Linked DNA regions of Oryzias latipes. The protein of the gene in region 4 interacts with the protein of the main gene of each other region in a pairwise test. Links are inferred from orthologs where the notes say so. Each region holds a gene or a part of one and is shown on either strand. Other genes may lie near its edges.

Region 1 (4,002 bases), about 8.7 Mb from region 4:
AGAATTAGCGCTTCCTAATACTTTTCATCAAAAACAACTAAACAAAGAGAGAAAAACTCTCCAACCTTCTTCTTGTTGACCCGGAGAAGGGTAAATGTGGTGAGTAGCCTTAGACTTGTCCTCAGTGATGGAGCCCTGGGAAGTAGAGCAGCAATGGACAGCATTAAAAATGATAGTTTTTATCTTTTAAAATTTACATTTTCTTTATTTAGACTCACCTGGTGTCTTTTGATGATGTCTTTGAGCTTACTGGCTTGTTTGGGTTCAACGTCAGGTGACAAAAAGACGATGGGCCGAGTCAAACAGTTATTCTACAGTAAATAAAAAATTAATTAATTAATAAAATTTTACATTAAAATAAATATCCATTCAGACGACATAAAGGTATTTAAAAAAAAGCATCAGAGAAAGCAGTGAAACTTGCAGATGAGAGCAGTTTTGTAATAGTCGATAATTAAATTCTAAATGTAAAGACCCTCTAGTTTCAGCATCAGGTAAAGTTTTTCCACCTCATACCTGTACGAGGTTCTTCTCTACATTAAGGAACATTTCCACATTCCTGTCCATTCGAGACGGATTCTGCAGATCAAAACGGCGCCTGAAAGTACAACAAAAGTCATTTTGTAACGTAAAAACAACAAATATGTCAGCACGACAGATTCATCATTACATTTTTCCTGCAATATGTATTAGAAACAAACTCACCATCCCTGCTCGCTCTTAAACTTATAGACTGATCCCAGGATGTGACAGAGAGCCCCTCCTGCCTTAAAATCCATAAAACATTTTGCCTGGTGGACAGAAAGGAATAATCAGGATAGTTTTAGTTAACTTTAAACTGTACCATGTTAGGGGTTATCACATCTGTGTTTTGTAATCAATGTGCTGGCTTACAGGCAACTTAGTAAGAGCAGGATTGTTGACCCTGCGTCCAAACGCATCCTCCTGAAACTGCAGCAATTGGACCACCAAACCGGCCAACGATTTACTGGATGGGGAATCGTTCTGGACATACTGGACCCAAAAAGAGACAAATGTTTGAAAAAACAAAACAAAAACATTCTTAACAAAAAAGTTTCTACAACAGACACACCATTACTCTTGACATCAATTTATTATTTAATGCAAAAATAAAAAAATAAAAGTCTGTTTTTGCCTATTAATAACAAATGTATTTTTGCTGAGATTTTAGATCAAGTTAGGGGCCTAATTTGACTAAGATTTGATTTATTCTGCAAACAGAACTTTTACCGTCGGAATTTTTAACCTACAAATACCAGGACCGGTTTAGAAGACATATTCATGTGACAAAACGTTTTAAGAAAACAAGATTTACCCATAAAACCTCAGTTTTATTCTAATGTGAAAAAAGTGATCGAAAAAAGGTTTGACTGCTTTTGCTGCAGCAGCTTCAAATCTTTGGAATCTCCCACTCTTTTCCTCACCATCTAATTATAAGTCTTCTCTTAAAATAAATTTTTTACTTGGCATGTATACGTATTAAAAGGGGACTTTATTTAATCTATAATTTTATTTCAATACTATCACTTTTTAAAAGTTTTTTTTTCCTATTGTCTGCAATTTTACAGCACTTTAGGTTTGCAGGAACTCGCTGATAAAGATTGATTGTTCCAGTTGTCTTTATAACGATGAGAAGGTTATGATTAAAAAAAGGTAAAGCTGAACATGCAATGTTTCTTTTCTAGACTTGGCTAAAATGTACAGGAAATTATATTTATACGAACTTGATTTTTTTTTTTTTTTTTTGGAAAATAGTTTTAAAAATAAAATAAAAGTTATAAAGGTGCGTGATATTTCATGAAACTGCTGAGTTACTATGTAAATATTGAAAGAGAGTGGGAGTGAGGGTCTAAATACAGGAAAGAGTCTTTGTTTGCAAACCCACCCACTGGTGGGCGAGTAAAAACTGGAGCTGAACATGCAGCTGCTACTGTACTGTTGTTGACAAAACCCATCCAGCTCTTAACTCAAAACATACAGAATCTTTTAAATCCACGGGCAAACCAGATCCATGCTTCCCGTCAAGGCTGCATGTTGTTATAGTAGTGTAATGAAAAGCATTTCATTTATTTTGTTCATGGAGTCCCGTGACTTTTCTGTTAGCTTCTGTCTGAGGCCTGTTCCTGTACGAAATGCACTATACTATAGTACCTTTCAATTTCCACTACCCGAGTAAATACTACGTGTGATAATAACGTGAAAACAGCATTTGTGTCATTAAGGGGCTGTCTGTAAACATTTGAGCTGCGGCTGCTATGTGTGTCGTCTATAGCGAATTAGCAGTTAGAAAGCTAATCATGTGCTAGCTAATTGATAAACAGCTTCGTTCAGGCCAAGTATTAGCATGCTTCTAGTTTACGTTTTTCCTGTTAGCATCTATTTTTTAAGTCCTTGGTCCTTAAACAAAATTTAAACTACACACACCTTCATAAATCTTTGCTATTCCAATCGTTGAATAGCTAAAGTTAGCTGAAACACCAGCACTCCATTGTGCTAGCCAGACGCGGGCCGTCTCTTGGACTGAAGCAACTAGTACTAGCTTACCTTCTTGTAGTGCTTTCCAATCCAGAGTCGAACCGATTCCAGCTGGGACACAGTTTCTGAGCTCTCCCAAAATTTCGTTGATGGACCACCATCTTTCTTTCTTCCTACTGCTGTTCCGCTGCCGACAGGGCCAGATGCTGGTCCGCCCGAGCCTGTTCCTGCCGTTGTCGCCGCCATCGCCATTGTATGTTTAGCTCGTTGTCTTTCTCTCCCACAGCGTACCGCACTGTGCAAGTTTTTGAATGATATTGCGCAGCCGCAAACATCTTCCCGCATTTTGAATCTCGCGAGACTCGCACTTGACTGGGCTTTTGGGAAATGTATTGAAATAAGATGCTGGAAAAATTACTGGGGAAAAAAAGATTAGGCTGTGTCCGAATTCCTACCCTAATCCCTAACTACTAAAACCCTATATAGTGCGGCACTATATAATTTTGATTACTCGGTCAAGTTAGTTTTTTTTTCTTAAAATCTCCCAACATTGTGGTTGTTTAACCCCTACAAAAAAAGGTAATCGTAATCAACCCATCTTTTTCATTCAGTGTGACCAATTATTGTGGTTTGATAAATAAAATTATTTCTAACACGTGTTACCACTGCTTTTTAAACAACAAACTTCTTAGACTATTTTCAGTCTTCCATTTATCGACATTACTGCCTATAAAAGTCCCAAACAATCAATTTAATGGTTCAGGGAAAATCTTGGGTGGGATGAGACAAATAACTTAATCGATGAGCAAAAACTATTTTAATATTTAAATGAAAATGACAGTTCTTTTGTGTTTTCTTGCAAACATATATACTTTTTTTTCTGTCTGCCTCTAAGCTGGGTGTTGAGAAAAATAATTGTACGAACAATATGTGAATTTTTACACAAGATATCAACATATAGACAATGATCTGTTGTTAATGTAAATATTACAGCATACACACAAGTTACTAAATTTAGGTTAAATACAAAATGGCAATTCAACCAAACAGCATCATGGCAGTTCCTGACCAGTAGATGGCAGAAAAAAAACATGTTTGCTCGTTTTCAGGAAAATATGTGTAAATCTGAATAAAACAAAGCAAATAATAATATTATATAAGAATAAGAATAATCAGTTTTTGTGAAAGAGGACAGAGTAAAGAGTTGCAGTAATTAATGCAGGAAGTGACAAGGCTGTGGACAAGTACAGATGCAGAATGGGGGTTGAGAACAGGCAAAAGTGGTTGATTTTTTGCAGGACTAAATTTGATGACTGAGCCATGTTATTGATATTATTTGACACCCAGACTCTTAACTTGAGGGAAGCAGGGAACTGTGGTGGAATAAACCCTGATAAAAAATGTTTAACTTTACAAAGTGTGGAGCTAGAAAAGTAAAAAAATAACAAAGAATGGAAACATTTTAAAGACAGCTTAAGACAGCTGAAGTCATTGCAAAATTAAAGT
Region 2 (4,226 bases), on a different chromosome or scaffold from region 4:
TATGAAAGCATTAAAGGAAAATGAGTGGTAGAAAAAGCTGTAACAGAAACAGGGATCACCGCAGCTTTCAAAGGATTGCCGAACAAAATCTATATAAATTTAGAGATCACAAGTGGCAAATGCTCCTTTTCTCATATCGAGCCACTTTTGAACCTAAAGACAAAGTTAGAAGTGTCTAACTGGGACTAAGGAGAAAAAAGAACTGGGCTGTTGCTGAGGGTCCAAACTCATATTTTCAGTAATTTTGTATTCCATTTGGAATTTAAGGTTTTGGAGTCTGGAGTTCTGGGGTCTAGAACAAAAGTGGAGAGGCATAGAATCCATGTTGCTTGAAGTCCAGTATGATGATTTAAGGTCATTGGCATCTGCTGGTGTTGCAGATGACAGTTGACTTTTCTGACGTCCACAATCAATGCAAGCATCTGTCAGGAAATTCTAAAGCACTTTACACTGCCCTCTTCTGACAAGGTGTGTGGAGATGCTGCTTATATTTTTCAGCAGGACTTGGCACAAATATGGGATGAAAAGATACATTTTTGATTAGTCTGATGAAATTTTCTAATATTCTAAGACAGTAAATGTGAGGCTTATATCATTTATGAGCCATATTCATAAAAAGGAACAAAGAAGTCCTTAAACTGACTTGTTTATTTAAATTGTATTCATTGTATTGACTGGGAAAAATAGTAAGCTTTTTTGTTTTGTTTTGTTGCTAAATTCTAATTTTGGTGTTGTATAATAGGTTAAATCAGTATTAAATTACCTTAAGTAAACATAAGGAGTGCTCATACATTTTGCAATATATTTTACTATTATAAGGATTAATGTTTGACCTCAGTCTGATGGCTAAGCAAAAAAAAAAAAAAACATTTCTTGCCAAAAAAATTGTGCTTTATTCCCTTATATTTACTTTTATCCTTTTAAATACGTACAAATAAATCCCCACTTTAATTGTTAATTGTACATCATACTAAACATCTAAAAAATTTGATTTAGTGAGATTTTTCAAAATGCAGAAAAACAATATCATGCAACTTTTCTATGTTTTTTTTATCTCCATCCAATTGGGTCGGATTCCTTTAGTCTGTATTTATAATTATGATTACTCTAAAAAATATGATTACTTTTTTATTTCGTTCTTTTTTATGACTAGGTAACTTTGCTTTTATTACTTTGTGGTTGAATTGATAACTCTCCTGTTTTCCTAAATGTATTAATTGCTGAAATATGTGATTACCTGCCGTTCTCTAAGAATCACATAATAAACTATAACAGTGTAAAATTGAAGCCCATGTTTCTGACGGCGTCGACATCCAGCGCACTTTAATACGTCCCTTCCGTAGTTATGAAACTTTACAGCACATGTTTTGTAACCGAGACAGTTTGACCAATCAGGACTCAGCGTGCTGTTCACGTGATGCAGATTTTTTTATGTAACAATCAGAGTATCTGTGAGAAAAACAGTTCTGTAATTTGTCAAAGACCGCGGCAGCTATCGCCATGTATAAACACACAGCTAGACGAAAAGCTCCGCATTTATAGCATTCCCAGACTCGTTCATGCTAAAATGTCGCTACAACCACAAGTGGCGGAGGCACCGGAGGAAAGACTGAGCTTCTTTATCGGTGCGGACCCGGTCTCAGGGGGAGAGGAGGAGGACCATTCCCATCATTGTGAGCTCATTTTGGAGAAAGGAAACGCATTGGCTTCGAAAGACTGTCTAAAGGAAGCCATTGACTGGTTCTCCGCGGCCGTGCGCTATGGCCCCGTGCGACCCGAGCAGCTCAGCACCTTCGTGGACTGTATTCTCCGCAATTTCAAGACGAAAACGGCCGGACGAGAAGGACCCACAGGCCTGGGTGAGGAAGAAGGGGAGGACTCGGTGTTGCTGGAGTGTCCCAACTGTCGGGGCTTTTTGGGCGAACCCGTGACCGTAGCCTGCGGACACTCGTACTGTAGAAGATGTTTGCACCGGCGGTTGCTTTCGAAATGCAAACTGTGCTGTGAACCTGTCAGCGGCGAGGAGAAACTGAATGTAACTCTGTGCGGACTTGTAGAAAAATGTTTCCCAGAGGAGCTGAAGAAGTTGAAAACATTAAGTGAAGTGGACGCCATGTGTAAAAGGAAACGCTACAGAGAAGCTGTTTCACACGCGACTGCTGTTCTCCGGTCAGGTGAGTCTCATAACACACACGTCTCTAACTAAGGTCGGTCACAAGAAGGCTCTTTATTCATCGGTATCTATGACTTTCTGGTGGAGTTCAGAGGTTCGCGGGGCTCTGTCGGTTTTTTTATTTTTATTTTCACTAAGCTCAGATTGGATACTTTTGGTGACATTTGTTGACCCACATTTTCACTACAAACGCTGAAGTGGTTCGCGGCTCTCGGGATCTCGGGAGATGGCAGGGCCTCGCTTATGAAAGTGGGGAGACTGCGCATGCGCGTTTGAGGAAAGTTGTGTAAGGCAGGTCGTGACACTTTGGGCAGGTTTTGCAACTTAAAAAAGGGGGGGGGGGGGATTTTGTAATTGTGTGAGCTGTTACGAACCATGCTTTCATAAATATTTTTTTACGGCTGCAAACGTATATTCATGGGGCGAGAAATAGTTTTTTTTCGGCCAGTACTTACACCTACTACTAGCAAAGCAGCAAAGCGGGGGTTTTCAATAACAATATCCTCATAGGGAGAAATGATTTTTTTTTTAACTCAAATCTATGACAAAAATCTTCACCGGCTAAAATCAAACAAGTAAAAAAATAAAATCTAAGATAAATAATATATTTTTTGAAGTCCTACATAATTCAATAGTTAAAAAAATGTTTACTAGCCACTTCAAGTTAACCAGTTTATTAGAATAGAATTGAATGCAAATTTATTGATCCCATTGAGAGGAAATGATTGTAAGAATATTTAATATTATTCAACAGTTGCATAGTAGTTTAGAATAACAATTGGGCCTTCAAAAGATATAGTATCACTTTCAACCTACTGTTGTAATAAACATACTATACAATTGTATGTTAACAAAGCTTAGATTACCTATTTAAAAACACTTTAAAACATTCTTTATTAATTTTTTTAAACAAAATATTTCAAACTATGTAAACAAATTAAGACCGTTCCAGGTTTTTTCCCCCTGATCAATAAGCAAATATTAATTTTTAAAATATGATTTGGAGTAAATGCCGATGTGCACTACTTAAAAAAAGTGATTATTTAACCAAATAATAATTTTTTTTTATTACAATTGTTGTTGCTATTATTATGCTGTATTAGGTATGCAAAGTGACATTGTGTTGAAAAAGTACAATGAATTAAAAAAAGTAGGTGGACTACACCAAGACAAAACATGATGACATGAAGGTGCAGCGTAGTGATAACCCTTGTAATGATCATAAAGGCACCTGGTCATGTTTAAAAAAATGTTCTGTTGACATTTATTGGAGCAAAAAAATTCATTTGAAAGTGTACTATTTAGTTATTTCTCTACCCGATATGGAAATCTTCATTCTCTCAAAGTTCCATTTGTTCAGATTGTGTATTTCAAACACAGCTTTAATAAGTAGCATCCAGCAAAATGAAAATTATTCTTCTAATATCAATTTCTGCTTAAAAAATATATGCTTTGATTAGAAGGCTTACTTCCATTAAAAAAAAAAAAAAAAAAACCACATGATTTATTTGGAAACAGAAAGTCAACTTAAGTCTTTTTATGTAATTCCTTCTAAATCAATTTTTTCCTGACATTATCGACACTTTTGCAAAATTTAAGGAGATATGATTATGTAATGTATGACCTTAAGGAAAACTTTCGGTTTCAGGAAACGGGAACTTACTTGCGCAACCAGACTCGTACTTTTTTCTGGTCCATGACACACATTCATGTTTGTTTTGAAGTTTATGGTATCTTATTGGTAAATGATTTATCTCTTCTCTGCCATGGATGGAAACTAAAACATTATACGATATCAACAAACATGGCATGAATATTAATTTCTCTCTTACAGATCCACACATGATGGCGGCTCGTCTGTCTAGAGCGGAAGCATACATGGCTCTCAAGCAGTACCGACTGGCTTTAGAGGACGCCGAATTCTGTTCCAGATCCACTTGTTCTGCTGAAGTATGTCACAAACAGCAGTTTTTTAAAATTCCATCCAATATCCTTTTGAGCGAGGTTAAAAAATAAATGTTTTGGGTTAAATAAGGTTAGAAAACCAAAATGA
Region 3 (4,131 bases), on a different chromosome or scaffold from region 4:
CTCCCTCCACAGGAACTCATCTCTGGAGACGGCCTGCCACTGTCTGCAGGTCAGACCAGCTCTCAGCACGGCAGTGTGAGACAGACGCAAGAAGATCTCCAAAACCAAGCTGTCGGGCAGAAGTAGACAGCCCTCCATCCTAACATCCTGAAACACACGAGTACTTTATGTTAGCTTTATGGCTGTTTGCTTCTGAGTCACAAGAACACACACACTTTAAGTACGTAACTTGTTCCTATTCATTTCTTTCCACTCAGCTTGGCTTTTCTCCAAAGCTCTGCAGCAGATCTCTTTCTCCACATTCAGAAATAACATGTAGTGTTGTGAAATTTACTGAGCTGAACCAAAGCCATGCTTCTGCTAATAAAGACCACAAGCTGACTTTTAATTAAACAAAATGGTTTTATTGCAACCGAATGAAGCCTTTATTCTCTGTTAATTTAAAGATTTGAAACTAACCAACCAATTCAGTGGCCTTGTGGTACAGTTTCTGCCCTGAGACAGGAAGGTTGTAAGTTGAAATCTACTGTGGAGTTGTACCAAAGACTAAAAATAGGGTATGCTTTACACTCGTAAGATAAGATGAACTTTATTGATCCTGCTGTGGGGAAATTCAATTGTTACAGCAGCTCTGGGGATCAAGCATTAAGGTGCAAGGAAAAATAAAATGGGTAAAACAATCACAGGTAAGGTAAAAACAACATTAAATAAAATACAATTCTTCAAAAACTCTCATTATAAACACTGTAATGAACTGACGGAGAAAATGAAAAGCCCCGGAACTAAAGAAAAAAGCAGTAGAGCATTGAATGTTTTTGTCAGGAATAAACCATTATTGCATCTGTTGTAAGACTGTTTAGTTGTCCAGTCCAACAGCGGTTGGAATGAAGGAGCTGCGGTACATCAGCATGAAGGGCTGGATTTGGGTTAAATCCAGAGCACAGCTGTGTCTGCAGCTCACTGCTGCCCAAAGGGATGGGTAAAATGCAGAGAACAAATGTCACACACCAAGGTACGTGTATGACAACTAATGGGCCTTTAACTTTCAATAAAAGCAGTACTTTAAAGTTTGCATCAACTTACTAAATAATCCTAATAATTTTCTTTGTATCAATCTCTCCTTATAAACCTTTCCCTTTGCTATTAATCATGGCACATTTGGGTATATCTATAAACATTTCAGCAAACGTATTTTTAAGTACCCTATCCAAAACTATCAAAAATAATTGATATTTAAAAATCACAAAAAAATGCTACTTTGTAGTACCAGGCGTCAACCTGAGGCTCCCTAATGTTGTCATGTTTATATTCAAGAGAAAAAGGATGAAGAAACACCAAACAGATAATTATAAAAAATAAAATCCATGTTTGACTTTACTTTCTTGCATTTTTAATTTAAGTAAATTTGCTGCAGCAAAAGGATCTTATTTAAACAAGGTGTGTTTTATTTTGAAAGGAACTCGTATGTGCATTTGTCTAGAGTAAAATAAATTACCGGTAAAATATTCATATATAGGAAAAATATCACACTGTCTTAATTAAATTATTGTAAATACATAAAAACTACATTTTATTAGTAAATGGCTTAAAGGTTACAAAAACATAAATAAAGGGTATTTTCTAAACAAAGTGAGACTTTGCAGCTCTTGTTGGGTTTTGGTGAGTAAAAAACTGGACCAAATGGCTCTTTTACTGTTAAAGGTTACAGTCCTCTATATATAATTACTTAAAATGTTTAATTCTCATGCCATAATGAAACTATTCAGAGCACTTCCCAACTATTAGATGCTAAAGAACAAATAAAATCTTGCTGCTTTTCGGGCCAGTAGATCTATCATCTAAGCGTTCCTAATGTAGCCAGTTTTGGCAATAAATGTTCCAAAAATAAAACTCGTTGTTCGTGTTTGAAAAGCAACAGCTAAACAAAACGTAACTAACTGTCATATAAGAGTTTTCTCTTTTAATCCGGTTTTGGACAAACTTTAAATTTTGGGAGTCAATTTTTCTACTTCTTCTAGTTCTTCAGAAAGTCGCGTCCTAAGCCAAAACAAAAACAAAACGGAACTCTTAATAAAAAATAAAAAAGATGAATATATGAACTCTTAAAGTGTGTTCTCCCTCCCCCTACCCCATTTATTTATGTAACTACAATAACAATAACTAATGTCTTAAACGTTTTCCTTCATAGCTTGTGTGGCTCAACATATTTTGCTGAAGAGTTGTTTTTCTATGTAGTTCAATGGTGAATCCTTATCCTGTTTACACCAACAGCAAAATCGGTTATCGTATGTGTCAACATGAACTACTCGGATATATATCAATTTTAGCGCGTTTCTAATCGATTTACGATATTTCTTTGCAGCTAAAACAAACAAATATATCTATCTAGCTAGTTAAACCGGCTAACTTGTTAAGAGCTAACTAGCTGCTAGCTGACATTTGTCTCAACTTTTAGCTAACGAGGCTAAATTGTCGCAACAAGACGCGGTTTGGCTCCCAAACAGGCAGTGTCATCTCACGAGTTGACGAGTTAGTTTGCGTTCAATTAAAAAACAAGCGATGTGAAATGTGACTCACCTGCTGATCAAAGTTTTTTGAAGAGAAACATTTAGGCTGCGTTGAAGGCTAACCGCACAAAATGAAAACAATCGCCCAGCAACACAGCGGAGCTTAACAAGCAGATAGCAGAGGCATCGATGCGGAAAGACCAACTCAATCGATTCAATCTTTTCGCTGCTTGAAGTTAGTTCCTTTTTATTTTATTTTGTTTTTTTTTTGTTTTACTTTCTTTATAGTTGCTGTATTAAGGATTCTATAAACTGATGTTTATTTCTTCCCATGATTCCCCTCGGCATTCACATATTTATTTGACGTGCTTTTTATAAATAAAGTTTTTATGAAGTTTTTTCTTCCCATGTGAAATATATTTGAATAAGAACATTAATGCACAAGTTAGGCTTTACTCGACCCAAGAGGAACAAATGATGCATTTTATTTTATTATTTTTGTAATGTTCACCCTTGTCACATTTTAAGTGGAACTAGACCTGCACTTTAAATTTTTAAATCATTAAAATTAAATCATTTTTAAATCATGTTGTCAGACTTCTACATGGTCTTTTATTGTGTTAATCTACACTCACAGCCACTTCATTGGGTACACCATGCTAGTACCAGGTTGGACCCCCTTTTGCCTTCAAAACTGAGAGTCTGATCCATATTGACATGATAGCATCCCGTAGTTGCTGCAGATTTGTTGGTTGAACATCCATGCTGCCAATCTCCCGTTCTACCACATCCCAAAGGTGATCTGTTGGGTTGAGATTTGGTGACAGGGGAGGCCATTTGAGTCCAGTGAACTCATTATTTTGTTCCAGAAACCAGTCTGAGATGATTCTGCTGGAAGTCACCATAAGAAGACGTTACACTGTGGTCATAAAGGGATGGATATGGTCAGCAACAATACTCAGGAAGGTTGTGGCATTGTATTCATGCTCAATTGGTACTAAGAGGCCCAAAGTGTGCAAAAAAATGTACCCCACATGAATACACCACCAACAGCCTGAACCGTTGATACAAGGTAAGATGGATTCATGCCTTCATGTTATTGAAGGCAAATTCTGACCCCACAATCTGAATGTGGCAGCAGAAATCCAGAATAATCAGACAAGGCATCATTTTTCTAATCTTCTATTGTCCAATTTTGGTGAGCCTCAGTTTCTTCTTCTTAGCAGACAGGAGTGCCACCTGGTGTGGTCTTCTGCTGCTGTAGCTACTCTGTCTACAGGTTGGATGTGTTGTGCCGTCAGATATGCTCTTGGTTGAAGACCTCAGTTGTAACCAGTGCTTATTTGAATTACTGTTGCCTTTCTATCAGCTGAAACCAGTCTGGCGATTCTCCTCTGACCTCTGGCATCAACAAGGCATTTCCACCCACAGAACTGTCACTCACTGGATATTGTCTCTTGTTCAAACCATTCTCTGTGAACTGTAGATATGGCTGTGGATGGAAATCCCAGTAGATTGGCAGTTTCTTAAAGACTAAGACCAGCATTCAAAGTCACGTAATAATCTTTCTTCCCCATGCTGATGCTTGGTGCAGCAGATCATCTTGACAATGTCCACATGCTTA
Region 4 (4,291 bases):
GATGATTATCATAGTAAACACTGTCATTAAGCTAATGGTGCCTTAAATTCCCACTTTGATCTATTTTCTAAGCGGTCTTTAAATTGTGATAATGCAGTTTCTAGCCTTAATTAAAAAAAAAAAGCTGTTGTTTTATATAACATAGTTTCTGCACAGCAGCAGGAGTTTATCAGAAATGTATGTCTGATTTGTTGGCGGGACTGTTGGGGCTGAGTAAGCCTGTCCCCATTTCCCAACATCAATCTGTTTACAAGCTCTCCTACTAGCTTACAGCCCCACACCCCACACAAAACCCAAGATAACATTAACGGTGCAACAAAAATCGTGAGTAATATTGGTGCTTTGCAACAGTACAGTTTGGAGCCACATGCCAGTTCGAGAGGGAAAAAAAAGACATACATGGATCTATTTGTCTGCAAGCGGATGCATCAGAATGAAGTGGCGCAGGACGGTTGTGGCCTGCAGTTGTAACTTTTATGTCACACTTAAGAGCTTTTTCAACGTCATTTTTGTGTCTGCTTCTGATTCACAATGATTTAAATTTAAAAAACACAATTTAAGATTAATTTTCTCTTTATATAAAATCTCTGTCATGAGAAAAATTCCACAAAAACCCGTACCGTTTCCATCGGAGTGGGTCTTTAATAATCCTCAACAATGTGGGGTACATTGAAACTCTATTTCCTTCTCTCTGGCTTCTCGTTGTGCTTTCTCTGATGAGATACATATCTTCTCTTTGTCTTTTAAGAATGTGACAGCTACTGTTTAACCCAAACAAAGCTCTGTTGCTAATGCCACCCATGCAAGAATCACTTCCTTTTGTGTGAAAGAATGTCTCCTTAAAAAGGAGAACTCAGGGTGCTGACAGGACCAAACACACAAGCTTTTATTCTCAGACATCAAAAATGAAAACACAGAACTTTGATGAACTATAATTGATCACTAGTTCAAAAACAAACTAAACATTTATGTTAGGATGAGTTCATAAAAAAGTGAAACATTAGATTGAAATCCCTTTTTAGCTTTGTCTGTGCTCCCCTGCAGCAAAAACCTCATGAATTTTAATATAAAAAGGATCCTTCAAAAAGCCCCACAAAAGAAGAGACATCAACAGGGAAAAATCCACATCTATTCAAAAACATTTAAAAAAAACTAACCCGAGGTTTCCTCTTATGTCAAATGAAATCTGTGGACCAAAACAAATTTTAGGTTTTGTTTGCTACAGGGCTGTTCATCTCTGACATGAGGATGGTTAAAGAAACCACTCATCTATGTTGATGGTTATGGTCAGAGGCAAAGCAAACCTTCAGAATGATGCTTTAAGGTGTTTCCTTTCTTTCTGCTCTTAGTGATTTAGGTTGGGTTGATGTACATTGAATTCCTTCAGGGTCACTCACCTCCTTGAAGTTGAAACCTCTCGATTGGTCGAGACTGAGCGTCTGCTCCCACCTGCTCCGGCTCTCTCTGCTCCTGGGTTTTGTGGCCTCCTGAAGACTCTTGGTGGCTGGTTGTAGCCTTGTGAAGGCACGTGGTAGGGGGAGCGGTAAGAAGAAACTGCATCTTGATTGGTTGAGGGAAAATCTGGATGATAAAAAGGAAGCGAGCGGGCAGGTTGCCCTGGAGCAGCAGCAGGTGAGTTCAGATACAAGGGCAATCCTGGGTTGTTATTGGTGGAGACTGATGGAGAGTTATACGATGGATGTTGCCCAGGGTGACGAGACTGGTAGTATGGGCTCACAGGTGAGGTCGCAGGGCGTCCGTTGCCCCCAGGGAGATATCCTGCCCAATTGAGTGGGGAGAAGGGGCGGGTCTGAGGAGGTGGAGGGGCCAGACACAGCCTGCTTCTCAGTGAGACACCTACGCCGCAAGTTTGAGAACATTCTGACCACTCCCCCCAGAGGGACCACACGCCCTCCACAGGCTCCACCTCAAAAACCTGTCTGGACCTACGAGAGGCCGCCTGAAAACACAAACACACAGAGACAAAAAAAACCATCTGAGCATGCAATAATTTGTTTGAGAACATTAAACGTTATATATATTTTTAAATACAATTTTCAATACACACAGGGGAGATATAGAGTTGGTAAAACACTAAAAATGTAATTTAATAGGGGGAAAAATGTGGTACAAAAATAGAACTAGGAGGATATCAGAGAAACTGCAGATTTAAATTATAGAGTTTTAAGTTTGGATTGAAAAAGGAAAGAACTACAGTAACAGATATCACAAGGAAGAGAATTCTGAAAGCTCTGCCACACATGAAGCTGAGATCTGAAATGTACAGATGCTGCACATCTCAGGATTGTAGAATAAAAAGTAAAGGGGTGATGAAGTTCAGGGCTTTAATTATTTTCTTCAAAAACTGTCTGGAATTCATTTTTGTTCAAAGACGAACTTCTTAAGCAGACGAGGATCAATGGTGCTAAGAAGAACTAAATAAACATTTGTTGTCTGGATTTCCTTACCGTAATTTAAGGCCAAACAGCCACATTTAACATATAATTTACTCTCCCTGAGGCCACAATCTCTTTTATTCAGAGATCTGTCGTTTTTTTTTCCTCTTACGTTCTTAAAATCTAAAAACAATATCAAAAAAGCAGCTGATTATACCTGGATGATATCATTTTAATCTCTTCTAGTACTTTTTCCTGATGTGTCCCATAAATTGTACTATACTGACTGACTAAAAGCTGCTGTAAGTTATAGAAGTGAAACCTTTTCCATCGCAAAATCCTAACTCTCTGCTGGGATTTCTTTCTCTGCCGTCTCGTGACTTTCCTTCCTCTGAGGCAAAAATATAAATCCTGAATTCTTCATACTGCGCTTTGGCTCAAAGACACTGTGTCACCTGCCAACGCCACAAGAGCAGCTGAACAAACTGACTGGAGTTGGTGGGATATGTCCACAACAAAATCAGTTAAGGCTTTGATTCACTCCTGTGAGGTTGTAGATAAATGTTTTTCCTCTCATTTCATAACCGAGGCACTGGCCTGGTTGGCAGTGTGGCAAACATGCGAGCTGAACAAAAGTTTCCATTGAGAAGGCACCAAAATCTGCGCTCAACTTCCCCTGCACTCTCTGCAAAAGCATGCGTGCTTCAGGGGTGTGGACATGGGCAGACACAGATAAGAATATGAAACAAACAGTTGGTGGATGGGTAAAGGAGGACAGGTGTTGAGATGCAAACTTGTATTTTCATGCACACTTGTTAAGTCCTGCCTCACGGGCTCCCATTAGTCCGAGAAAATGAAAGAGAAAGGTTCCAGTGGAAGGGAGTTTGCACAGGTTTGTGGGTACAAAAAAAGGTTTTCGATGTATTGAATCCCACCAAGAGGTGTTCTTAAATCTCTTTTTGCAAGTTTAAAGGGCCTAAATTATGCTAAATCAACTTTTTTTAGCTTTTAAGAGTATTATAATGTTAATTCCTCACAAAAAAAAAACAATCCCAAAGCACTATTTTTTATCTGTTCATGCATTTCTTAGTATTCCTCTAAAAACCTGTACCCCTCCCAACCCATGTAAACAAGCGGGTTCTCACATTGTGATGTAGATCAGTGAGGAACCGCCCCTTCCAGGAAGAGTCTGCACTGCCAGCTCCGCCCACAGGATAACACACACCTTCTTAGCGGTGATCAGCAAAAGCCCCTTCATTTTATATGTGCAATATGAACATCCATCTTTGCAAAAGTTTGGATGTTGTTTATTTTCGTGGGCGAGACGCAGACACGCTGCCGAGGCCAGCTCTAGGTTGACGTCATGAAATGTGCGACACCCAAATGAGCGAAAGCCGGTGCCTCAGATATCAAGTTGTCCTAGTTATGGGCTGGAAAAGAACTCAGGAAAGGAATTAATATTTGATTAGAAAATTTGCTATTCAGTGTGCCAAAGGTAATCTATTATCATATATATGAATGTAGATTACTCAAAAAAGCTTAAGAATAGCATGCTATAGGCCCTTTAAATCAAGTTTGAAGCATTTGGATACAAATCCAAGACAAGTCTATAGTCCGAAAACTTCTAAAATAATATTCTATTGTCACAAATTGTTGTTAAACTACTTTAAACAACTTGTGGGGACACAATAACAGCCAGTGGTGTGCAAACGCTGTGTAAAGACAGTTTTCATTTATTTTTTCTGACATTGATGTCCTGGAGCTAAAAAAAAAAAGAGGAAAAAAAACAGATAAACTTTGTCCACTTGCTTATCTGTTTCTGCCTCAAGTTTCTGCAGGCGATACTGAAGTTCGAGTTTTTAAGTCCAAGTCCATGTCTCAGGTGGCATCTAACC

Evidence for each region. The genes of interacting proteins can lie anywhere in the genome.
Region 1: the proteins of thrombospondin type-1 domain-containing protein 4 (region 4) and smarcc1 interact in binary tests that used the Homo sapiens proteins (3 or more experiments, as listed by UniProt). The two-hybrid records come from large-scale screens. The link is inferred for Oryzias latipes from reciprocal best matches to the Homo sapiens genes ADAMTSL4 and SMARCC1.
Region 2: the proteins of thrombospondin type-1 domain-containing protein 4 (region 4) and lonrf1 interact in binary tests that used the Homo sapiens proteins (3 or more experiments, as listed by UniProt). The two-hybrid records come from large-scale screens. The link is inferred for Oryzias latipes from reciprocal best matches to the Homo sapiens genes ADAMTSL4 and LONRF1.
Region 3: the proteins of thrombospondin type-1 domain-containing protein 4 (region 4) and fbxw5 interact in binary tests that used the Homo sapiens proteins (3 or more experiments, as listed by UniProt). The two-hybrid records come from large-scale screens. The link is inferred for Oryzias latipes from reciprocal best matches to the Homo sapiens genes ADAMTSL4 and FBXW5.

What each region holds. Positions count from the first base shown.
Region 1 is NC_019874.2:27,744,977-27,748,978, forward strand, and holds the start of smarcc1 (SWI/SNF complex subunit SMARCC1), read right to left. Parts: upstream 2,801-4,002; 5' UTR 2,749-2,800; coding exon 2,566-2,748; intron 1,015-2,565; coding exon 895-1,014; intron 792-894; coding exon 706-791; intron 599-705; coding exon 517-598; intron 312-516; coding exon 219-311; intron 136-218; coding exon 66-135; intron 1-65. UniProt on the Homo sapiens protein: Involved in transcriptional activation and repression of select genes by chromatin remodeling (alteration of DNA-nucleosome topology).
Region 2 is NC_019859.2:13,843,596-13,847,821, reverse strand, and holds the start of lonrf1 (LON peptidase N-terminal domain and RING finger protein 1), read left to right. Parts: upstream 1-1,426; 5' UTR 1,427-1,567; coding exon 1,568-2,174; intron 2,175-4,007; coding exon 4,008-4,123; intron 4,124-4,226.
Region 3 is NC_019870.2:12,262,823-12,266,953, reverse strand, and holds the start of fbxw5 (F-box/WD repeat-containing protein 5), read right to left. Parts: upstream 2,801-4,131; 5' UTR 2,578-2,800; intron 148-2,577; 5' UTR 139-147; coding exon 1-138. UniProt on the Homo sapiens protein: Substrate recognition component of both SCF (SKP1-CUL1-F-box protein) and DCX (DDB1-CUL4-X-box) E3 ubiquitin-protein ligase complexes.
Region 4 is NC_019874.2:19,011,965-19,016,255, reverse strand, and holds part of thrombospondin type-1 domain-containing protein 4, read right to left. Parts: intron 1,961-4,291; coding exon 1,398-1,960; intron 1-1,397. UniProt on the Homo sapiens protein: Positive regulation of apoptosis. May facilitate FBN1 microfibril biogenesis.